Linked DNA regions of Kluyveromyces lactis. The protein of the gene in region 6 interacts with the protein of the main gene of each other region in a pairwise test. Links are inferred from orthologs where the notes say so. Each region holds a gene or a part of one and is shown on either strand. Other genes may lie near its edges.

The links.
Region 1: the proteins of CDC48 (region 6) and SSM4 interact in binary tests that used the Saccharomyces cerevisiae proteins (3 or more experiments, as listed by UniProt). The link is inferred for Kluyveromyces lactis from reciprocal best matches to the Saccharomyces cerevisiae genes CDC48 and SSM4.
Region 2: the proteins of CDC48 (region 6) and SMT3 interact in binary tests that used the Saccharomyces cerevisiae proteins (3 or more experiments, as listed by UniProt). The link is inferred for Kluyveromyces lactis from reciprocal best matches to the Saccharomyces cerevisiae genes CDC48 and SMT3.
Region 3: the proteins of CDC48 (region 6) and BRE5 interact in binary tests that used the Saccharomyces cerevisiae proteins (3 or more experiments, as listed by UniProt). The link is inferred for Kluyveromyces lactis from reciprocal best matches to the Saccharomyces cerevisiae genes CDC48 and BRE5.
Region 4: the proteins of CDC48 (region 6) and RAD52 interact in binary tests that used the Saccharomyces cerevisiae proteins (3 or more experiments, as listed by UniProt). The link is inferred for Kluyveromyces lactis from reciprocal best matches to the Saccharomyces cerevisiae genes CDC48 and RAD52.
Region 5: the proteins of CDC48 (region 6) and VMS1 interact in binary tests that used the Saccharomyces cerevisiae proteins (3 or more experiments, as listed by UniProt). The link is inferred for Kluyveromyces lactis from reciprocal best matches to the Saccharomyces cerevisiae genes CDC48 and VMS1.
Region 7: the proteins of CDC48 (region 6) and UBX3 interact in binary tests that used the Saccharomyces cerevisiae proteins (3 or more experiments, as listed by UniProt). The link is inferred for Kluyveromyces lactis from reciprocal best matches to the Saccharomyces cerevisiae genes CDC48 and UBX3.

What each region holds. Positions count from the first base shown.
Region 1 is NC_006042.1:2,566,262-2,570,315, reverse strand, and holds SSM4 (E3 ubiquitin-protein ligase SSM4), read left to right. Parts: upstream 1-1,254; coding exon 1,255-4,026; downstream 4,027-4,054. Other genes in the region: KLLA0_F27709g (uncharacterized protein), read left to right, coding at 1-746. UniProt on the Saccharomyces cerevisiae protein: E3 ubiquitin-protein ligase which accepts ubiquitin specifically from endoplasmic reticulum-associated UBC6 and UBC7 E2 ligases, and transfers it to substrates promoting their degradation.
Region 2 is NC_006039.1:125,693-127,723, reverse strand, and holds SMT3 (SUMO family protein SMT3), read right to left. Parts: upstream 783-2,031; coding exon 501-782; downstream 1-500. UniProt on the Saccharomyces cerevisiae protein: Not known; suppressor of MIF2 mutations.
Region 3 is NC_006039.1:1,666,814-1,670,283, forward strand, and holds BRE5 (Bre5p), read right to left. Parts: upstream 1,983-3,470; coding exon 501-1,982; downstream 1-500. Other genes in the region: OCA4 (Oca4p), read right to left, coding at 1-88; CCR4-NOT core DEDD family RNase subunit POP2, read right to left, coding at 2,834-3,470. UniProt on the Saccharomyces cerevisiae protein: Has a role in de-ubiquitination. In conjunction with UBP3, cleaves ubiquitin, leading to the subsequent mono-ubiquitination of sec23.
Region 4 is NC_006038.1:140,959-144,223, reverse strand, and holds RAD52 (recombinase RAD52), read right to left. Parts: upstream 1,812-3,265; coding exon 501-1,811; downstream 1-500. Other genes in the region: E3 ubiquitin-protein ligase TOM1, read right to left, coding at 1-1; NDC1 (Ndc1p), read left to right, coding at 2,720-3,265. UniProt on the Saccharomyces cerevisiae protein: Involved in DNA double-strand break (DSB) repair and recombination. Promotes the annealing of complementary single-stranded DNA and by stimulation of the RAD51 recombinase.
Region 5 is NC_006042.1:1,086,661-1,090,167, reverse strand, and holds VMS1 (Vms1p), read right to left. Parts: upstream 2,367-3,507; coding exon 501-2,366; downstream 1-500. Other genes in the region: DNA-dependent ATPase RDH54, read left to right, coding at 1-469; uroporphyrinogen decarboxylase HEM12, read right to left, coding at 2,670-3,507. UniProt on the Saccharomyces cerevisiae protein: Endonuclease that cleaves polypeptidyl-tRNAs downstream of the ribosome-associated quality control (RQC) pathway to release incompletely synthesized polypeptides for degradation.
Region 6 is NC_006042.1:553,099-557,286, reverse strand, and holds CDC48 (AAA family ATPase CDC48), read left to right. Parts: upstream 1-1,388; coding exon 1,389-3,881; downstream 3,882-4,188. Other genes in the region: HNT1 (adenosine 5'-monophosphoramidase), read left to right, coding at 153-204, 353-747. UniProt on the Saccharomyces cerevisiae protein: ATP-dependent chaperone which probably uses the energy provided by ATP hydrolysis to generate mechanical force to unfold substrate proteins, disassemble protein complexes, and disaggregate protein aggregates.
Region 7 is NC_006042.1:680,663-683,719, forward strand, and holds UBX3 (clathrin-mediated endocytosis regulator UBX3), read right to left. Parts: upstream 1,740-3,057; coding exon 501-1,739; downstream 1-500. Other genes in the region: RNA-binding signal recognition particle subunit SRP14, read left to right, coding at 1-382; RAM1 (protein farnesyltransferase), read right to left, coding at 2,124-3,057.

The DNA.
Region 1 (4,054 bases), about 2.0 Mb from region 6:
GCTCCATCAAATATATTCATCAATTATGTTTGATCGAATGGCTACAGTCAAAACATGTCGATGTTACAAAACCTGGTGCAGGGATGGTATGTTCGATTTGTAATCATCCAATCGCGTTCCAAACTTTGTATGATGAATCAATGCCAGAGAAGATCCCACTTCTACTTCTTCTGAAACATAGCGTTTTCAAAATCTTTGGCAAATTAAATCACTATTTCAAATTCACATTGATTGCGTTCCTTTTCTTCATTGGAATTCCCCTGTCCTGGAATATCTGGGGGAAGCTATATACGGCTACTGTGGATGATTTTTCATTTCCTTCAAATAACAAATGGTATATCAATTTGATTTATGGCTTTGAAAGAAACATACCAAAAAATCCAACAACTACGGATATTTTATATCAACTAGTGATAAATTACAGATTTTCGTTGTTACAAATTCTGATGGTTTTGATCGTGCATGCTATCGCATATTTACAATATGATATGGTAGTCAGAGAGCCAATTTTCAATAAGATGATCTTGCATAAGATTGGACCAAGATTTTCAAAACAAGAGCTGGCCATGCAGTCATTAAGAGAAAGATTTCCAAATATGGATCCAAATGATATAAGCATGCTCATAAATGCCCTCAATAGACAACGACAAGACGATCCAAATGAAGATGATACTTCAGAAGACGAACAAGAACAGAACAATTTCATCGTAAACGAAAATAATGATGAGCCTCAGCTTGCCAACTAACTATAATCCCCCATTTAAATATTTACGATATTGATAATCTTCATATTGAAACATTGCATCAGCCTTCACTCCAGTTCGAAATAAACTTCTATATACAATATAATTCCCTCGTTGTCCCATCAAATCATTCACTTGCTTTAGTAAAACATGCTAGCCCATTAGATTCTCAAAGATGAATTTGGTATTACCCGGCTTATAATGGAAATTGAAATTTGAAGAAGGAAATTTCAACATGGGCGCAGACAATCAGTATATACATCGTCGACTGATCTCGTTTCACAACTAAGTACAACAGGTTAACAATATTTAATCTTTGCTACAATTGTATAGCTGTTGAAGTTGAATAATTATATCATAGAAACTGAATCTTCAACTTGAGTTTTCCGCATTAGATCCCTGCATTACTCTTTTCTTCTGATCACAATATCATATTTCTTCTGCAACATATTCATATCATTACCAATTAGCTGAGTTATTAATCGACTGTACTTTTAATTCACAATCCATTATGGAAAGACACTTTGCACAAAGAGAACTCGATGGGCGGTTGGATGCTCAACTCGGACGACCTCAGCCTGTTGAAGGAGAAGTACAAGAAGATGGAATAAATGCTCAACCAGCGGTTGTACTAGAGAATGAAGATGGTCAACCTACGGCTATCTTGAATTTAAATCTTGATTACAAATATTTACCGAGCTACTTTTCCTTAGTCTTTTCTGTCATTGGTGGATATCTTTTCATTTCATACGCTTTAGCCACACTTGTCGGATATCTGTTGAATTTCATTTATTTTAGAGTTGTGATTATAATGCTGAATGGAGTAATAGTGTCAGCAGAGAGGTTAAATATCCCAGAATACAATCAAAAGCTTATAGAAACTTTTTCTTTGGTATCCTACGTTGAAAATTGGATTAATGGGACAGTTTTAATGCCAATAGTATCGTACTATCAGGGATACATGAAAGGCACAGCAAAACATACGATGCTGGTACGAATGTTGGCGCCAGCCAGTACATATGCGACTTTCATAGTTCTTTGTTGCTGTATACCAGAACTGTTATCTAGAGGGCATTCCAAGAAGCTACCTCTAAAGAATTCTTTGAAAAGAACGATTTTCAAGTTTTCCTATATCATCAAGTGCACATTGAAAGTGCTAGGGTTGTTTACACTTGAACTTGCCGGATTTCCGATTTTAGCGGGGTTTTTGATTGATGTGTCACTGATCTCACCGCTATTATTACCACAGAGCAGCTTGACTTTCGTACCGAGTTTTTGTTCCTTTTGGCCGCCTATGACATTTATTATTTATTGGGCGATTGGTACTGTTTATATGTATCATTTTGCTCAATATGTCGGCATGGTAAGACAATATATTATCAGACCGGGTGTTCTTTTCTTCATAAGATCACCAGATGATCCTAATATTAAGCTATTACAGGATTCTTTGATATACCCAATGAAACTTCAACTCTCCAGACTTGCATTGTCGATGGCAATCTATACAGCATTCATTTTAGTAGGTTTTGGATTTCATACGAGACTTTTGTTTCCTTACATTTTACATTCGGAACTTTTACCTATGAAGCATGGATTGTCAACTCTCATAAAACCAAATTCTATGTTTTCTATTGCAGTCATTGCTGGAACGTATCTCATTCTCTCGAAGAATAGAGTTATTGATGCTTATGTTAGACAATATTGGGTCTTTGTATTCAATATATGCTGCAGAAAACTAAGACTTTCCTCTTTCATCTTAGGAAAAGATTCACCAACTGAGAGAGGACATGTTATTTATAGGAACTTTTACTATAAATGGTTCGTCCCAAACAAGGCAAAACTGTCCAACCTAGAATTATACTCTCATCCAAAATCGCTCGATGAAACCTATACTCTTTTCAAAACTATTCCTGATGTTCACGCATATTTTGTCCCCGATGGCACCATGATGCGCGTACCTGCGAGCGACATAATATCAAAAAAATATGCACAATTGTTGTTCGTCCCAGTTACTAAGGATGACAAACTTCTAAAGCCATTGGATATCGAAAAAATCAAAGAAAGACAGAAACGAAATGCCGGAGAATTTGGCTACCTAGAAAAACAGCCCACGGAATTTGATGAATATAAGGTAGTTTATGTCCCTCCGCATTTTACTTTCACTTATTCGCTGTTAATTGTCTTCATATGGATCTTTGCTTCCCTTTTGTTTACTGCTGTGTTATTAATCTCAAATTTTGCTGGGCTTCCCATTATCACTGGATTGCAATTATTGTTGAATGCGGTTATCCCCCCAGCAATGAAATTTCAAAATGAACTCTATGAAAGTGTAAAACCATTAAATCTTCTTTCCGTTTCTTCTGGTATGATACTTTTGTCTCTCGCTTTGTCATCCTACCACGCACATCTATTAAATAATATCCATCTAAATGACAGAATATTGGAGGTTAATGCCGAACACAATGGGGATGTTCCAAATAACGGTCCAAACGACGATAATCATCAGCATATAGTTCACAATGATGATAATATTCCCGAAAATGATGAAAATCCAGTAGCCAATGAATTTAGAGTACCGGAAATTGCTGAAGGTGATGTTTGGAACTTGATCAAAGGCTTTGTAACAATGGTGTATCCAGTCTTTACATTCTACTTTATGCCAATCATTTTCAAGTTGAATATCAATTATCATTCGGTCTTCATATTCACCTACTTCAAAGATTTCTACTGGAAAGGCGACGTTCTCGAAAACACAAGCCCTGATATATCGTTTGTTCCATTCCTTTCGAACCTCGCATCAAAATCAGAATACAGCGGCTATTCAGCTTACTCATTAATAGCTGCTCTATTGTTTTGTCAAGTAGCAGCAGTGGCGTACATCGCGGTACAGTGCAGTTTGAAGCGGAATAAAACATTAGGATTCAGAAGATTACTCATTAGGGTCACGGATATATGCTTTGTGTACCTCGTTGCAATGATTGCGGTACCTTTTGCTCTGCAATATAGTTTTTCTATGTTTGAATTCCTTACCCACAAACAAGTTTACACCTCTTCATGGGCACCATTTGTTTATTTCATTTTCATACAGCCTTCTGTCTCGGCAGATCATTCCCTTATGACTACATTTCAAAAGGCATTCTACTACGTTGATGTAGTGACGATTTCCTCGGCGTTCCTAACTGTGAGCTCAATTTTATCCAAGTCGCTTTACAATTCTTTATCTCAAAGTGTGAGAGACGAAGTGTATGCAAGAGGAAGGATACTAAAAAACTTTGAAGAATAGTTTGATCAGTCAAGATGTCTTTATAGAT
Region 2 (2,031 bases), on a different chromosome or scaffold from region 6:
TACCAAATTCAAAACGAGTGTGGCAGAAAACTATTAACAAGACAGCTAATATTTCTTCCACTTCTGGTAAATTATTCTTTCTAAAATCATTTACTGTAACAGTTATACTAATTGAAAAGAATGTTCACCATACTAGGAAGGAAAATGACTTGAAAAAAAAAAGACCTAAAAACGCGAAACTTGAAGCAAACCTAGCTTTTCGAATCGAAATAGGAATACAAGGGTGGTAATTTGCAGGAGGTCTGTTATAAGCCCTGCCATTTGATACCCAATCTCTTTTTTCTTTCCATTCGGATTTCATTTCTAATTCCATACCGACTGTTTTCCCTGGGGAAATGCAGATAAGCTTGCGGGCACTTTTCTTGTTGTTCATCCAAAGTAGTTTTAATATTCCAGATACATAGTCAGTTATTATAACATTAGATAGGTTACATTGAAAGATAAAAAAGGATGGGAATGCTGTAGTTGATCCCACTTACTGCTGCAAAGTACACTCCCAATTACAAACTACCACCAATTTGCTCTCTGTGAGCTTCAATGATATCGTTATCTTCCATGTCCAAATCTTCAGGGGTCTGATCTGGTAACACACGCACACCGTCGTAAAGGAATCTTAGGGATTCAATCTCTTTACCTTGTCTCTTAGCAAATGCCTCCATTAATCTTTTTAATGGAGTGGTCTTTTTGATCTTGAAGAAGATCTCACTGGATCCATCCGAAACCTTCAAGTTAATATGTGTTTCTGGCTTAACATCCACCTTTTGTTCTTGTTCTTCTGACATTTCAAACTGTGGTTATATATATAGGCGTTGAAGAATGGAGAAACAGGATTCAATGAATGTTTAAAGACTCGCTTTTTCTTCTTCTAACTCTCGGCAGTATAGATTGAGCTTTTGTTTGTTAAGGTAATTTGTATTGTTGAACTAATTCCTGGCCAAAAAAAAAAAATACTGTAGTCCTGAAATTCGACTGTCAACTGACATGGAAAAGAGCTCTAACAAAAAGCAGTTTCCTTCTTCCTTTTGAGAGCATGAAAATGAGAAGTTAGGGGAGGGAAGGGTAACGACCCACAGGCACGTGATCTTTCACTCCTGCCCATTTTGTTTTGCTGTACTTGGCAAAAGGATTAATCGTAACCCGGCCATGGCCGGGTTACACTTAGCCGGAAGCCGGAAGTTTCCTTTTGCCAAGTACAGCAAAAAGATAAGACGCGTGCTACAGCGCGCAAATGCCCTGTAAATATAAATCACGAGGGCACTTTCCTTTCAGTTTTTTGGATAGAGCTTCAGTCCGTGTTGCATTGGATTTTTGTCGCCGAACGCTATCACCACCGCTCATTCGTTTGTTCCGATAAAGCTATAACTGTCTGGGCTATATTGGAACCTTAAACCCGTTCTCTCAAGTGCCATTAAACTAAAAGCACCGAGATTATTACCCTATCTTTCTTATAAAAAAAGAAATAGAACCTCCGTAGACCGTTTCTCTTAGCCCAATTTGGGTTTTCCACCTCGTTCCTTTTTATTTTAGTTTCAGTTTTCTATTTTGTCGCCCTTGCAGGTGATGGCTACATCCTCTACTGGAAGCTCCATCGAGAAATGGAAACTGCAGGACCATATTCTTTCATTGCTGCGGTATTAACTGGGTGAAGCTGATCATTTGAAAAAGAAATAGGAAGGTGTATGGGTTGTTCCAGGAATATTTAAGGCTCTTCTCTGGACAGCCCTTAGAATCCCGCGCCAGGGATTGTTCGAAAGTGGCGTATTGAATCTTTTTGTATGCAGTTTGCGGTCTTTTCTTTTGGTTCATGGCACAATCTTATTTTCTTTACTTTTTTTCATTCGCAGTAACGTTAAGAAGTGTGTCACAAGATGACGAGATGAGACGATGTAGCCATTGAGCGATCCAAGACTGGAGGTACTTTAGAAGCTGTTAGATGCGTAGCTTAGCCTCAGCCAAAGAGATGGCAATCGTATTCTGATTGCCTTTTCCCTCAGTTCCTTCCCCCACCTGCCCATGGTTAGTAAATTGGAT
Region 3 (3,470 bases), on a different chromosome or scaffold from region 6:
CCAAAAATGATAGGTTAATGGTCTCAAGTTTACTGCATCGATAGATACCTTCCTCGGGAATCCCGAAATTCGCTGGAGGAACTAACATAGCTGATGGTTTCTATGACCCTAGAGTTGTATCTCCTCACCTGTCCCCTTGGCTTCAGCACTGATCTTTCTGCCAATCACCTTTTCTATCATTGTGATGTGCACATGAAGATCTTTGTTCCTTTAAATTTCATCAAGCTCGAACCAACTTCAAAGGGTTGTGACTTAGAGAAAGAAGGAACAAAAAGGGAAGACAACAATAATGTTTCGGTGATATGCTTATAGTGAGAGGGAAATATATAAAATGTACATGTGGATAGGTTACATACGGATATATTTAACAAGTTTTCCCCGACTCATAGTTTCATCGTTTTAGTTAATTTTTTTTATGGTTTTTTTTTTTATAATATGGTTTTATCACGCCTTTCATTTAGGTTTGAGATGATTTGGGTTTACGATTAAAGTACATGAGATTAGTTCTTTGATTTGTCATTACGGGATTTCACTGAGCTCTTTTTAAGCGTGGAATTACCTTGGTTTAACGAGAGTTCTGGTGATGGGGAATTATGTGAACTGTTGCCGTTTGTGTTGTGATTAGTGTTACCAGAATTACTATTACTATTGTTGCTGTTGTTCTTGGCTTTGTACTTAGAAGCTTTATCGCCCTTTGGGTTTAAATTAATAACTCTTTCACCGACTTTTAAATGTTGAGCATCGATGGCAGCGTCTCTTGCAGGTTTTTCTCTGAAATCAACCACAGCGAACGAATCTTGGAATGAGGTTTTTACGACATCACCGTATTCTTTTATTAGAGCTCTTTCAAGTTCGGATGCGGTCAACCCATTTGTGTTACCCACGTATACTGGGTAGAAACCGCTGCTGTTTTGGATGATAACGTCGCCTATTGGTTTCGATTGCTGCTTGCTTTTCTTGTTTGACTTGGTGAATCCGTTTGGAGGTGGACTTTTAGACTTCTTTTGTGGAAGATCTACCTTGATGTAGTTTGTAGTTAGTTTAGATGTCTTGTTGAGTTTGCCTGCCCAAGTCATTTTCACTGGTTCAGCCTTTGGGGTGACTTCTGTTTCAGGAACCTCTTGTGGGGGCACCGATTCAGAACGGGTTGTCGTTGAGGTTGGGGTGGCTGATGCTGAAGTCGCTTGCTCTTTTGGTTGTGCTTGTGCTTCGTCTTCCTTGTCTTCTTTTTCTTTTTCTGCAATAGCAGCAGGAGCAGTAGCTGGCGCAATCGCCTCATTTTCCTTAGGTTTAGTTTTATTTACTGAAACGGCTTGGGGTTGTTCCACTTTTGTTTCCGTTGGAGCAGTAGAGGGCTGTTGCTTCTCAGTTGGAATTGGCTTGACAATCTCAACCGGTTTCGCTGCTGCCTTTACCACTACTGGAGAAACAGATACAGGAACAGAAACAGGAGCTGCGTCCCCGTTGACATTTGGCTTCTCATTCTCAGCTTCAACAACAACAGCAGATGGTGGTGATACTGGCTGGTCTGGGTTCACTAATGGAGCAAGGTCAGGAATGAAACGAATGATATCGTTTTTCAAATCGTAGACTTTACTGTTATACTCTGCTGGTTCCAGGATAAAGCACTGACAAAATCTGTAAGATGGTGAATCCGTCCAGCATAGCTCCCCTAATATCAATATCAGAATCGAAGAACTCTCGTACCCAGTAGATTGCACATCACACGAATCAATCTTGACCTTCAAATCCTGTACACGCTTGCTGTTTCTGGTAAAGAAATTGTTGATGTTATCCTTACCAATCAACTTGACGGTGTTTAAATAATCTTTGTCATGCTTGATAGGTTCATTATAATTCACATGGGTCAATTCCGCCGTGGTAGAATATAAACACGACAATTTCGATGGATCATTATGCATACGTTCATAGTACGTCCTTAGGAACGCATATCCGATCTCTTTCACATCGTAAGTGGTCATATTTTCCAAACCAAATGTGATTGTATCAAATTAATCTAAACAGGAAAAAACACACTGGTTCTTGTAAAAGAATTCAACTATTCTTTGATAACTCTCAATTTCAAACCGATCGCGGGTATCAAAAAATCAAATTGGAATGCTAAAGTGTATGAAATGAATGCAATACAGTCAATCGTTGTCAATCAGAAAGACCTTTGAATGAATTAAAAATAAAACTGTCAAACAAAAAAAAAAAAAAGAAGGGAAAAGCACGCTCTAATAACGCTCTAACAACGTTTTAATCCAAGTGTATTAACGGTGGATATTCAAGCAGGAAAGTATAGGGTATACTAGAATACAATAACAAAAAAGTATTAATTTCCTATGGGTGCTTTTTTCCAGACTCACGGGAAATTTCAGCACTACGAACACCGTATATGTGCCTCACGCTTCAAACTTATCGCTAAAGATTAAAGTCTGGTTTCTAATGAATGCATGAAAACCGATAAGCGAACCAAATAGACACCCTAACAACAAGAAACGCCCCTCACAAGCAAAGTATGTGCATGTTTGCATCTAGTGATTATATGTAAAGAGTCAATTTTCAAAATTTTTTAATGGAAAACTCGTCAATCATCTTATGAAATCATGCCTCACGAGATGCCAGGTGAATGAAGTACACAGGTTGCGCTCTTGCAACCTGTGGGTTTCGCACTGGTCAGCATCAGTTCAGTTCAGTGACGGTGGCTAGTCAGCCACCTTTTATACCCTATTTTAAGAATGATTGTGTATGTATATATATATATTCACATACATAAATGCATTATTGATGATACTCTATATGAAAGGCTGGCACATAAAAATCACATATATTACTCCTGTGTGATTCCGTAGATCAGGTTCTTGTAGTAACTGAAATCTGTTCCATTGCGTAGTTTGTACAAAGACAATTTACCGAGTTGGGTGTATGCCAATAGTGCCAAGAGACTTTGTCCCGCTGCGCTGCTGAACAATGGGAAGATCGGAATCCCCAACTCGTCAGCCAGTAGTTCTAGTGTATATTGCTGTTGTTGGTTTTGTTGCTGTTGCTGTTGACTTTGTAATAGATGTAATGGTGGTGGATGTGGGTGTTGTTGCGTTACCTCATGAACTAACTTGTTAATTAGGTTCAAATCGTACGACGTTGGTATGTATTTCTGAACCCACCATTCGAAGTCCTCTTTGTTGTTGGGCATGTTTGTGTTCATGAGCCTGTTGATTAAGAACCCGTAATCGTATGCTGCATGGTAACTGATCCACGTGACCTCATCGTTCAACAATAACCCGGAATCCATCATCAACTGAGCAAACTCGTCGAAATCAACACCGTTCTGTTGATGTCTCTCCAAGATGACACCGGATTTCTTTAATAGTTCTAACGATTCCGAATTCACGGTCTCCTTTGTTACGTCGAAATGGAAGTTGAATTGCCATGTGGATGGGAAGTTGTCTGGTTTATTCCCCTGTAAA
Region 4 (3,265 bases), on a different chromosome or scaffold from region 6:
TCTTTTGTGTTGATGATGGCAAACTAAAAACCTCTTGCGATGGGATTTGCTCTTCCTATTGTTTGAAAGAAAAACCAAGGTCTCAAAACAGAATGGCTGTTATACACAAAGTGAAAAGGTAGCCTTCAAAAATTAACGTTCTGGAAAGCTGGAACGTGATACAGAGACGTGTTCTTAGGCGATTAATTGTCTATATCTGCCCTTTGATAGTGAAATCTTATTAAATAGTTATCCTCAATTGATCTTATGCCTAACGCTCGCAATTATTTTCATTTCGTAGAGTGTGATCTCATGTTGTGGAATAAAAAATGCGTAGGGTGCAAGTGAATATAGATTAGGCATGAGTAACTAATTATACATATAGCGGTTGGATATTTAAATAACACCTGTAGGTTACAAACTTGAGATGTGGCAAAACCGTAACATTTATCATTTCTTAAATTCTATGATTTTTCATCTTGGCAGGTAATTCGATGACTTTAGTTATTCTCTAAGACACTTTATGACACATTTCTTCTGTTTGGCTGTTGCAGCATACGAGGTCTTCCAAGTTGGGTGCGCTGAGGACCTTGCAGTTGCGGAGCAGGTTGCGGTCCTGCTAGTTGTGCATTTGATCTTGTTGGGGTACTTCTGTTACTTTCTGTTGCGCTCGTTTGGGGAGCAGCAACATATGGTTCAGAATTTGTCGTTGTGCCAGACAGTTCCTTGCCCTTAGGAGCGAACTTGGAGTAGATACTGGACCTATCACTGTCCAAGCCCTTTTCTTTTAAAATAGTAGCTCTGACTGGTGTAGATACTGACTGGTCAACGGTATGTCTTATGGACTGGGCTTGAAATTTAGGGTCAAACATAGATCCTGACGGGATGGGATCTTTATGTTGCAGTGATGTGGCAGCTTTAGCAGTAACAAATGTCACAGGAGAGATAATACCAGTAGCTTCATCTGATATTGTGGTTGTGGTTGTACTGCTATTAGTAGAATTTTTGTTATTTGTTGTCGTATTCATATTGAGTAAATCGTCATCTTGTATTTCGTCGCTAAACATGAAAGAATCATCAAGTAAATCATCAGGGTCCTGCTGTTGATTGCTAGTTTCTTCATTCGGTGATGCGGATGCTGTTACTGCTTGTGCTTTTGGTGCTCTTTTCTGTGTTGTATGATTATTTGACCGGTACGTTTGCTGTGCAGGTGCAGAAGGTACGGCATTTCTATCCTCATTTGTTAGGCTTCTTTTCTTCAAAGAAGGTCCCTCAGTATGCGCATCTCCAACCATATTTGATCTTGACATCTCACTTAATTCATCTGCAGGTCTGAAAAGGTTTCCCTCGTCAAAATCTGGGGGATCAAACTTCACTTTATCAATCTTAGCCAAGAAATCCTTATCATAAAGACAATTCCCAAGAGCGTTTCCGAACCCTCTTAACGATCTTTTCAACGCATCTGTCACTGCAGATTTCTTGGCACGCTCGAAAGCGCTGGCTTTCCTCCGTTCATTTTCCACGGTTCCATACCCAATATCCTCTCTGAACGTTCCATCGGCTAACGAAACACGAACAATAGCGGTGCATCCAATACTAAATCGACCTTGCCTTTCGTCAAGGAAATCTATAGTGACATTTTTAACCTCCGTAGACCATCCGTCATACCCAAAAATCTGGTTTGCTAGATTGATTGCTTTCCAGCCTTCGATATATGCTACTCTACTGGATCCAAATCCTACTCTCTTTGAAATATATTCTGGTCCTAGCTTCTTATCTAACTTCGTTTGAATGTCATCTTTACCATTCTTGCCACTTCCTGTATCCTCCATATCTAACAAACTGCAAAAAGGAAAATTGATGCGAGTCGCACTAATATACCAATCCACAAAATCTTCTACCAGTTAAAGACACAAGCAAGGTGGTATCCTGTCCAATTCAACAGCGCAAAATCGTTAACTGTTTGACCTAGTTTGTTTAAGTTTTAGTTTATCAATACAGTAAATTTGAAAAAAGTAAACAGAGCAGTAGCTTAAATCACGTAAACTTGAAAAAGATCTGTTTCTATCGGTATTAAAAGACGCGAGAGCCATGTAAATTGAAAGGAGTTTTGAAAGGATGGCAATGAAACTTAACATTATCATTATAGGATTGGCAGTACCTGTGCTGTCATAGAAGTACTTACATTGGTCATGAAAGTGGCGACGCAAATCATTCTAATATTTTCAGTACTCTATGAGTGACCTTGTATATATTTGTATATATCTTTTGGACAAGAATATCAACTTTTAAGCGTTAAAGTTGACACGAGACCATTGTTACAAGAAAGAGAAAGAGAATATGACACATATTTAGTTGATTTACTTATTTACATGTAACAACTGTTTACGATATCATCAGGTTCGCGTTTAGCGTCTATATGTTGAGACTGACCTCACTGACAAGGAGGTGATTGTCTTTAGTTTCGAGTTACCATGCAAATCAACTATGACATTGGCATAAGAGGGTTACCCGAATATCTAATTTTTTTATGACGCCTGATCTCTAGATCACAACCTGTTAAGAACTTAAAATGCTTGAGATGATATACAAATAAATAATATAAGTAACTCGGAAGGTAATTGATTGTCCTAAAGTCCAATTGACCTTTGTCTGTTTTAAGCATCTAAAATTACTCAGCTTATTGCTATACAGGCTGTACTTTTACCTGTGTTCATCTTTGATTGGTTTGTTTTCATTGATGTCTTACGTGCAGAGTTTAGGACCGGTTGCACCGCAACTGCGTGATTCTCGTTTTACTTACCATCGGATATTCAGTGGGGTATGCAAGAGCAGGTTTAATAATTTCGCCAGGGGTTTACTCTTCAAAACAGCGGTACTTGTCGGTTTAATTACAACCATTACGACACAATGGGAGTTGTCGAAATCTCAGAAATTACTGTTATGGCCAGTAAAAATATTATCTTTCTATGTTGCAATGTTGATGCTAATTATTACCAGGAAAAACTATCTTCATGTCAATTACCTTGGATATACGAGCTGGATAAGCGCATCATATGGCCAATTAGTCTCCCGTAAATGGATCACGTACCTTTTAGTTTACGTTGTGAGCGCATTCTTCCTTTCTTTGACATTTTCCTGTTGCTTTTTCACTCCAGGTACTGGTTCAAGAAAGCATTCACAGCATTACGAATTTTGTTGTCAGTTTATGGTACCTTTTTTGTATTCCATCCAACATGTACTTTTAGATCTTGACAGACTTACTTTCAACTACGGTGCTCAACAT
Region 5 (3,507 bases), about 530 kb from region 6:
AATAGCGCTTTCTAAAAAGTTCTTGGACAGTGCCACAGATCAATCAAAAAATGATGATGATCTTTTTCAGCAGGAAGAGTTGAAGGACTTGTTTACCATTAATTTGTCCACTTTATCCAATACCCACGACTTAATTTGTAATTGTTCTGGTGAAGTAGAAGTGCTTGAAGAAGAAGAGATAACGGGTACTGATGAAGCCAACGCCCAGCCAGAATACCAGGCTGCTGCGACTCCATCAAACAATCCTCCTGCTTCAATTTGGATCAATGCTCTAGAAGCCCAAAAAATTATAGAGAAGGAGGAGATACTTCGAAATGGAACAAAGTCAGAAATCATGAGAAAATGCCTATTGGGATACAAACATATTGATCCACAAAAGACTAATGACTTAATTGACGAAGCTATGAATAACGTCTTTGATGATGCACGACAGTACATCACTTATGCTTTGGTAAAAGACTCCGTGTAAAAGTTATATATGTTACTATTTATACTTGCATCTAGTTACCAGAAAATCTTTTCATTCTCGCTTCAGCTGCACGAGCTCGCTGCTCTCTCATCAATCTCATCCGTTGATCATCAGTTAAAGAGTTCAAATTTATTTGAACGTTAGAGGATGCGGCGCCAAGTTTCATTCCGGGACCTCTTTTAGCATCTTTTTCCTCTTTGATTCTTTCCTTTGCCGCCTGCAATTCTTTTTCTATCAAGTCTTTCTTTTCTTTCTCTTCTTCGAGTGCTATCTTCTTGTGCCTTTCATCTATCTGTTCAGCCGATAATGCTCCACTAACATGACTTTGCTCCCAATCCGTGAAGCTTTCTCCTAAATTATAACGCGCCAACTGGAAGGTTTCCTTGACCATGGTGTCACTCGCCAGATCCCACGCTGTTTTTCCAACATTGTTAGTAATTGTAGGATCTGCTTTTAAAGTGGACAACAACACCAATACCATGTGTTTCAAGCCGTGAGATGATGCATAATGTAGCATTGTTGGTGTGTGATGATATTCAGAAGAGGGTTGCAAAGTAATATTGACATCAAGATTGTTTTTCTTGATATACGATATTAACAGCGGCGCCTTACTCTTTTGAATAAATGAGATTAGCTTTTCGGTATGTTGTTCATCTTCTGTCTTCAGAGGCACTGGTGTTGGAGAATTTGTAAGTTTCCTAGGTTTGTTCTTTGAATGATCAGTTTGCAATTTTTTGACTTTTGGTTGAGGTTTGTCCGTTATCGATAAATACGTCAATTGAACCCAGGCACGCCTTAGTTCATTTGAGGATGGGCGCATCGTAGTGAATGGGAAAGACTTTAGTTTGACATCAGTTTTAGAGATGCAAGTATTATCTAAGAAGATCTTTCTATCTGTGACACTATTGGCTCTAATGAAAATATTGTCACACTTTGCAATGTAGGGTTCCCAATCCTTTAACAATGCTTGTATGTCTGCTTTCAACGCTGCTTCATTATATCTACGTAGAGTTGAACCAGCGGAATTTGCCTTTCCCTTGGCATTGTCATTTGCTGATTGGGAGCCACCTTGCTTTCTTCTGGTAGTGTATCGATGGAACGTTTTCTGTTCCAAAAACTGTACTGACTGCTCTTGTAGAGATAGGATATATTTATTTTTGTTATTACCATTAGTTGGTATCTTTTGATGCGATACCACTGCTCCTGCAAAATGACCGCCGCCAATCATGAACAACACAGAGAAATGCTCGGTTTTATCCTGATTTTTCCAATGATGAATTGATTTCAATGGGCATTTCAATTCCTCTGCATTAAATAGTACTTTATAAGCCCCGAAAATTCTTGGTCCCGATAATTCAGCAGAATGCATGAATATTAAAGGAGATTGTGTGTTTAAATGAGAAACGGGTCCCGTTTGGTTGTCATTGATCATCAAATCCTGGAGTTCATGCTCGAGAATTGCTGTCAACTGCTCTCCTCCTCTTGTAGAAATATCATCTTCTTCTATTTCATCTGTCTCATCATCCTCACCAGATAAAGAATCACTGTCAGAATCTTCTGCAGTGGCTGTTTCTTTACTTTTAATCAACTGCCTAAACTCTTGCTCATCGACTGGAGATAAACCGTAAACTCTTCTTTTTATGTTGAATTTGTGTAAATCAGTTTTAAAATGATATCGAGGATCAGAATTATCATTAGGAAATGCATTAATACCACATGAAGCACATGAAGGTACTGTTTTAACCTCAATTTCCTTTTTGTTTTCGATTTCTACATCAGAATGGACCACTTTAACCTCATTCATATCAGAGTCGAAAGATATCAACTGCAAAGAAGAAAGGATCTCATCAGACAAATCATAGACGTACAAGTCATTCTTTTGTATTCTGTCGGACATCAGTTCAGGGAATCCACACTTCTTTGAGCTCTTTAACACCTCTTTTAAAACGTTTCACTGTGTGATGGCAAGTTTTCATGAATGAAGAAGATTTATTGAAGTAACAAACTTTGAAATATCAAGGTTTCACTATAAATAAAGTACATTGAAGTAAAAAACCATACATGACCAGACTTGATCAACTAAGCAGGGTAAAAAAATGGATTTACTGACATCAGTATGTATTAAACAGAATGAAATGGTATATACATGAAATAAATTGGATGCAGAAAGGTAGTAGTCTATTTCCGATTTTTGATAGATTTATTGACTACCGACTCTGTGACATTCCTGCAAAAAGAATTTGATCTTCTCTGGATCCATGAATGGATGGGTACCATGTCCAAAGTTTACAATGTAATGTTGCTTACCTCCGCCGAAACCATGAACCATTTCAGTGACTCTCTTGGTAATAATCTCATCCGAACCGTAAATTACACCAGGGTCCAAATTACCCTGTAAGGTAACACGGTCACTGTTGATCTTTACTGCCTCTGCAGGGTCCCATGACCAATCTAAAGAAACTGCATTATAGCCACTGTCACATAGTTTGTCTAGTGCGTACCATGATCCCTTGGCGAATACTACCATTGGAACACGTTCTTCGATACCCAGCTGCTTTAACCTTGGTGGAACTCTTTCCGCAATTTGCTTTAGGTACGGTAAAGAGAACTCGTCGAAATCACGAGAGCCTAACTCGCCACCCCAACTTTCAAACACTTGAAGCATCTGACAACCAGCAACTACCTGTTGGCACAAGAATTCGACCGCAACGTCAGTAATCTTCTGTAATAATTTATGCGATGATTCTGGCGATTCGTTTAACCATTGCTTAGCGAATCTGAATAAACGCGATCCACCACCCTCGGTCATATAAACCAATAACGTCCATGGAGCACCACAGAAACCTAACAAAGGCACTTGGCCGTCCAATTTAGTACGAGTCATAGTGATAGCTTTAAAGGCCCATTCTAGTTCGTCTAAAACGTTGACCTTATAATCCAATACCTTTTGTAGTTGCTCTTCAGTTCTCAACGGTTCCGGGAAATGAGGGCCTTTCCCCTCAACCATCTCAACTTTCATACCCATGGCCTGAGGGATC
Region 6 (4,188 bases):
ACATATATATAAGGGCCAATACACAAATGTATAATGATGAAAAAAGACTGAACTCCAATTAGTTGCAGATTCTCCAACATTTTCGCAGTCGAAAGAAATATTGCAATAAGTACCGATACGTGTGAATTCAAACGTTTAATAAGCCGATACCAATGAGTGCTGTTGCCCACGACGCTGCTTGTATTTTCTGCAAGATTATCAAAGGTATGTAAACCTCAAATTGTTAGGTGAGAACAAATATCTGTTTCTCCCCTTGGTTTTTGCATGCTCGCAACCACCCAAGTGGCTTAGACTAGCTCTTTGATCTTATGAACTATAATACTAACAGATTCCACTACTGGTGTACTTTCAGGTGAAATCCCTTCTTTCAAATTGGTTGAAACTCAGTATTCTTACTCGTTCCTTGACATCCAACCAACTGAAGAGAACCACATTCTTATCATTCCAAAGCACCACGGTGGGAAATTGCACAACATCCCAGATGAATACTTAGCTGACCTGTTGCCAGTTACTAAGAAGTTAGTGAAAGCCATTGGCTTCGACCAAGATGGTCCTGATGGTCCAGGGTACAATGTCCTTCAAAACAACGGTAGAATAGCCCATCAAGAAGTAGATCACGTGCATTTCCATTTGATCCCAAAGAAAACAAAGGATGCTGGATTAATCGTAGGTTGGCCTGCACAGGAAACTGATTTTGCTAAGCTGAGTGAAATGCATAAAAAGTTGCTTGCCAAACTAGAAACCTAAGCGCGATCTTTTTCGCAATGAAAGAGACCAAGATATGACGAAGATGACGAAGCTGACGAAGCTGACGAAGCTAACGAAGATGATCATTGAGATCGTCTCATATATATTATAACTACATATTTCCTACTGTACCAATTTCTACTTACCATTCACATAAGGAATCCAATAGCTCATTCGCATTGTGGGAGGGATCTTCTTAGAGAGGAGATGAAAAAATATTGTTACCCGGCCGAAATTTCACATATCCGGTGGCAAATTCTGAAATCTCTAGATTATAAAGAGGGAAGCGATTTATTATATATAAGTATTGCACACTATTTTCGGTGATCCTTGAAGGTTATTTTCAGGATTAACACCAGTAAGTGAACGCTAGATTAAATAAAGCACTCACCAGGGATTTACAATAATTGTCTCCTTTAATTGAATCATTGAATCACCAGATTAGGGGTTAGATCAAGTTATTTAATTTTTGTTTTATCTTCCGTCTTTTGGTTGAAATAAGAAGAAATAAGGTCCAATTTCAGAAGTTAATCAAGAAACCTGCATATCCTGTTTACCAAGAGCTTAATTACATCGTGGATCCTACCAGAAGGAATTACAGTATCTTTAAAACAACTTTTCACCTCAGTTATTAAGAGAACATGCCAGAAGAACATAAGAAATTGTTAGATAGTTCTGGCACTGCAGCTGACGCAGATGATGCTACCGCCACTGCCATCTTGAGAAGAAAGAAGAAGCAAAACATGTTACTGGTCGATGATGCAGTTAACGATGACAATTCTATCATTGCTATCAATTCTAACACTATGGATCTTTTACAATTGTTCCGTGGTGACACCGTTTTAGTCAAGGGTAAGAAGAGAAAGGACACCGTTTTGATTGTTATGATTGATGACGAACTGGAAGATGGTGTCTGTAGAGTAAACCGTGTTATTCGTAACAACTTGAGAATAAGACTCGGTGATTTGGTCACTATCCATCCATGTACCGATATCAAGTATGCTTCCAGAATCTCAGTGTTGCCAATCGCTGACACCATCGAGGGGTTGACTGGTAATCTATTTGATGTGTACTTGAAGCCATACTTTGTCGAAGCTTATAGACCGGTTAGAAAAGGTGACCACTTTATCGTTAGAGGTGGTATGAGACAAGTAGAGTTCAAGGTCGTAGACGTTGAGCCTGAAGAGTACGGTGTTGTTGCCCAAGATACTGTCATTCATAGTGAAGGTGAGCCAATTAACAGAGAAGATGAAGAAAATAACATCAATGAAGTCGGTTATGATGATATTGGTGGTTGTCGTAAGCAAATGGCTCAAATTAGAGAATTGGTCGAATTGCCATTGAGACACCCACAACTATTTAAGGCCATTGGTATCAAACCTCCGAAGGGTATTTTGATGTACGGTCCTCCAGGTACCGGTAAAACTCTAATGGCCAGAGCTGTGGCTAACGAGACAGGTGCATTTTTCTTCTTAATCAATGGTCCAGAAGTCATGTCCAAGATGGCTGGTGAATCTGAATCCAACTTGAGAAAGGCTTTCGAAGAAGCAGAAAAGAATGCTCCGGCCATTATTTTTATCGATGAAATTGATTCTATTGCACCAAAGCGTGACAAGACTAACGGTGAAGTGGAAAGAAGAGTCGTTTCTCAATTATTGACTCTAATGGATGGTATGAAGGCTAGATCCAACATCGTTGTCATTGCAGCCACCAATAGACCCAATTCTATCGATCCTGCTTTGAGAAGATTCGGTAGATTTGATAGAGAAGTCGATATTGGTGTTCCTGACGTTACTGGTAGATTGGAAGTCTTACGTATTCACACTAAAAATATGAAGTTGGCTGACGACGTCGACTTAGAAAAGTTGGCCGCTGAAACCCATGGTTATGTTGGTGCTGATATTGCCTCCCTATGTTCTGAAGCTGCTATGCAACAAATTCGTGAAAAGATGGACCTAATTGACTTAGATGAAGACGAAATTGACGCCGAAGTGTTGGACTCATTAGGAGTTACTATGGACAACTTCAGATTTGCATTGGGTAACTCCAACCCATCCGCATTGCGTGAAACCGTTGTAGAATCTGTTAATGTCACATGGGATGATATCGGTGGCTTGGATGAAATTAAGGATGAATTGAAGGAAACCGTCGAATATCCAGTCTTGCATCCAGATCAATACACCAAGTTTGGTTTGTCACCATCGAAGGGTGTGTTGTTCTACGGTCCTCCTGGTACTGGTAAGACTTTGTTAGCTAAGGCTGTCGCCACCGAAGTGTCTGCTAATTTCATTTCGGTCAAGGGTCCTGAGTTATTAAGTATGTGGTACGGTGAGTCCGAATCCAATATCCGTGATATTTTCGACAAAGCCAGAGCTGCAGCCCCAACTGTCGTTTTCTTAGATGAATTGGACTCCATTGCTAAGGCTCGTGGTGGTTCTTTAGGTGATGCAGGTGGTGCATCTGACAGAGTGGTTAACCAATTATTGACCGAAATGGATGGTATGAACGCCAAGAAGAACGTTTTCGTTATTGGTGCCACTAACAGACCAGATCAAATCGATCCAGCTATTTTAAGACCTGGTAGATTGGATCAATTGATCTACGTTCCATTACCAGACGAAACAGGAAGATTATCTATTCTATCAGCCCAATTAAGAAATACACCATTAGAACCAGGACTAGATCTAAAGACCATCGCTCAAGCTACACAGGGATTCTCTGGTGCAGATTTATTATATATCGTACAGAGAGCTGCGAAGTTTGCCATTAAAGATTCCATCGAGGCACAAAAACGTGCAGAAGTTGTCAAGAAAGAAGAAGGTGCAGAAGAAACCGAGAAGGTCAAGACAGAAGAAGACGTTGAAATGTCAGACGTTCAACAAGAGGATCCAGTTCCATTCATTACCAAAGAACACTTCACTGAAGCTATGAAAACAGCCAAGCGTTCTGTTACAGATACTGAGCTTCGTCGTTACGAAGCTTATGCTCAACAGATGAAGGCATCCAGAGGACAATTCGGCAACTTCTCGTTTGGTGATGATTCAGGTGCTGCCGCAACTCAAGCTGGTGCTGAGGGTTCTGGTGCAGCTTTCGGAGATGCCGCTGGTGAAGATGACGATGATTTGTACAGTTAGATACATAACCTTCACAAAACATAACAGGTCTTTTTCGATGCAAAATGAAATGTAATAAATTACAATACAGAGGAATACTTGTTGCTAAATTTACGTAGAGATTAAATATTATCTATTAATCACGTGTAACAGGATATTTGAGATAACTGGTTTTAATATGGTTAAAAGATTCATCAGTCTTAGCTATCCCTTCCAATTTTGGGTCTTGAATTCATCTTTAATTCGACCTAGTAGTGCAATGGTATATTTTCGCCAGGCAAAGCAATACAGGGTCTCCGAAGTAAAACCAAATTATATTAATGAATAC
Region 7 (3,057 bases), about 130 kb from region 6:
CGAATTTTTTGTTAAGCTTGAAAAAGCTTTCAGAATGTCCAAGGTATCGCACAATCAGCTCAAAGTAAGCTTGAAAAGAGACTTGGGCAGTCATCACGTTCAAAAACCTAATGAATTGGATGTTACTTCCAATCCTACTGGTGATATCTCAAAGATGTCAGAATCCAAACGTTTAAAACAAAACGCTCAACCAGATACAAAACCATACAGACTTATCGTGCTAGTGAGCATGCCATATGATGGGAAACGAACGAAATTCTTCACTTTGGTAGATTCAAAGACTCTTGATAAATTTTGGAAGGATTATGTTAATGTTGTAAAAACAAGTATGTCTGGATTAATTAAAAAGAAGAAGAAGAAGAAGGGTGGTAAGAAAAACTGATGAAATATTCCCAACCTATTATCACCCATGAATCATAAATCCGCAATCGTGTAGCATTATAAAGTACATGTTATATATACATATATAGATGTCAAACTGCAAACCAGTAATTTGGTTTTCATTCGAACTCCACGACAATTGTTCCCGATGGATAAATTGTCCGTTCTTCCTTGATCACTGTGGTTGGCTCCAAACGGGTTCTGGGCACAGGTGAATATAGTTGAAAGTCATACTGATACTCGTAATTTGGTTTTTCTTGTGTAATATCATTCTCGCTGCTAGTGTCAGATAATAAACCTGCTCTGTATAATGCAACGTATGCGTAAATCTCCTCAATTGTTAATGAAGCATCAAATCTTCTAATAATTCTTTCATTTTCTAGTCTGATGCTTACTCTGCAACCGTCACCCGATGGTTCTGGCACTAGTACAGATTTTCTCCAAGCCAACCATTTCTTTTTAAGTTGGCTTTCCTCGATTACCCTATCCCTTTCCTGGTCCCTTTCTAGCGATTCTTGGTATCTCGAATCTTGTTGTTCTCTTAATAACCGTTGCATTTCCTGGTACTGTCTTTGCCTTCTAATCTCAACTAATACTGAATAATATGAGGCTAATTTGGCCTCAAAATGAGAGAAATCATAATCAAATAGTTGGCCCTCCACTCTGGCAAGCAATTTCATTTTATTATTCCGTTGGGGTCCAAGGGCACCTAAAAATGGAAACTGTCTAATCTTTAAAGAATTAGCAGTCTGTAGCCCTTGTGGTGTTGTAACATCGCAAAACCATACAACGCAATTATATTTGGTGACACATTCTACAAACTCGTTGGAAGTTAAAATCTTTCTTACGTACTCGAATGGATCGTATAGTATCGGATTGAAGAAAGATATTATTGCAAATTTACCATCGCTGGAACACCGACGTAAGATATCAGTGTAACCACCCTTAATCATATTTTTGCTCAACATTCCATTCTCTACATTGTACAACGTATCGAATGTATAACCACTCTGTTCGTTGGTATCGGCTGATGAAGAAAGGACATCTATAACATTTACGAATTGGTTACCCAAATCATCGCTGAAATGATTGTCTTTTCTTGTGTAGAAATGAAAGATCTTGCCTATTGGTTTGAAAACTTCCACCGAAGTTAACAGGATATTGAGCAAGTAATATAGTAATGTTAGTGGAATGTATAAGCACATTTTTAATATTCTAGGAACGCCAGCATTCAGTATTGTTTCCTGTTCAGGTTGTTCTGTATTATCATTGTCTTCAGGGAATGATCCTGGGAGAGGGGTAAAACTCACTGCAGGTTGGTTCTGCTGAGACGGCCTACTGAAAATGTTGAATACCATGTTCAACAGTTGCAGATTCGTTTCTATAGAAGAGTACAGCCTCTAATATAGGTGAAGCTTTCTCTTCTTCTACTGAAGATTTACCCTATGGATACCATTGACAACTTTTAAAGGATGTCTGATATTGTTTTTTAAATGTCAAATTTAATGGACAGACAATGATAGATCATCGTGAGTGGAAATTCACAAAGAAAAGCGCCACGGCTAAATAGTACAACTAAGGCATTTAATAGTTAGAGTATAATTCCCGATGATTGCTACTCTCAATTTTATTATATTCCGAAAGTTATTTTCTTCACCTATGGAGTCATGTTAATTTAGGTATCATAATGAGTATATAGTTTTATAGTATTACACATGCCATCAGAGTTAATCGTGAATTCATTACACTTTCATTGACAGATTAGACATGGATGGTTCTCCGCGTCTATTAATGAAATTGTTAACGTCAAGGATAGCCAGTCCGAATATGGGATGAATAGGCTCAACTTCCGGTTCTGGCACAAGTGGAGTTGCAACAAAATCGAAGGGTGAATTGTTTCGGACCATAAAAGAATGTTCGCAAATTGATAAACCAGCCAACACATAATTGGTATGATAAAAGTCCGCTTGTGTTCCCGGTTTATCTCTTAGGCCAGGGCTTTCTTCCGATTGACAGCATTTCAATATATATTGTTTTAGGGCGTCTTTATCTATGCATACTCCATACCCGTATGCTTCTAAGATTGCAGCAGTTCCGCCAACCCAAAAACTGTAGCAACCATCTGTAAGTTTATTGCTTCTTCCGTTTAAACCTTTCTCCTCTTTAGTTTGACGAGAACTACACCATGACAATAACGCATCGATATTGACCTTATCTAAGGCATTCAACATTGCCAAGCTGGCTACTGCACAAAAAGTGTAGCCACCATGTGCTTCATCATTTGGGCAGCCTCCGAAACCACCCTCGTAAGATTGGCATCTTGTCAAGAATTCCGTCACATTACTTGTTAGTTTAGAGTCCACAATGCCTAGTAGTGACGCTATAGATAATGCAGTGTATACGCCTCTCACATCTTGTTCGCCGACTGGGCGTGCAGTCATGAACGCGCCGCTAGGTGTTTTAAGAGAAATGAGCCAGTCGTATATAGCCTTTTTATTGATTTCTCTGTTATCATCGAGATTGTGACATAGAGCGATGGAATTTATAGCAGCGTATGTGGCCGCTAGATGTGGTAGTTGATGCTTTCCGCCGCTGAAGGGACCACCTGTAGGTGATATATACCATAGCTTGTCCAAAATACGCTTCTGATAATCGTTCGTAAGCCAAGTGGGATTC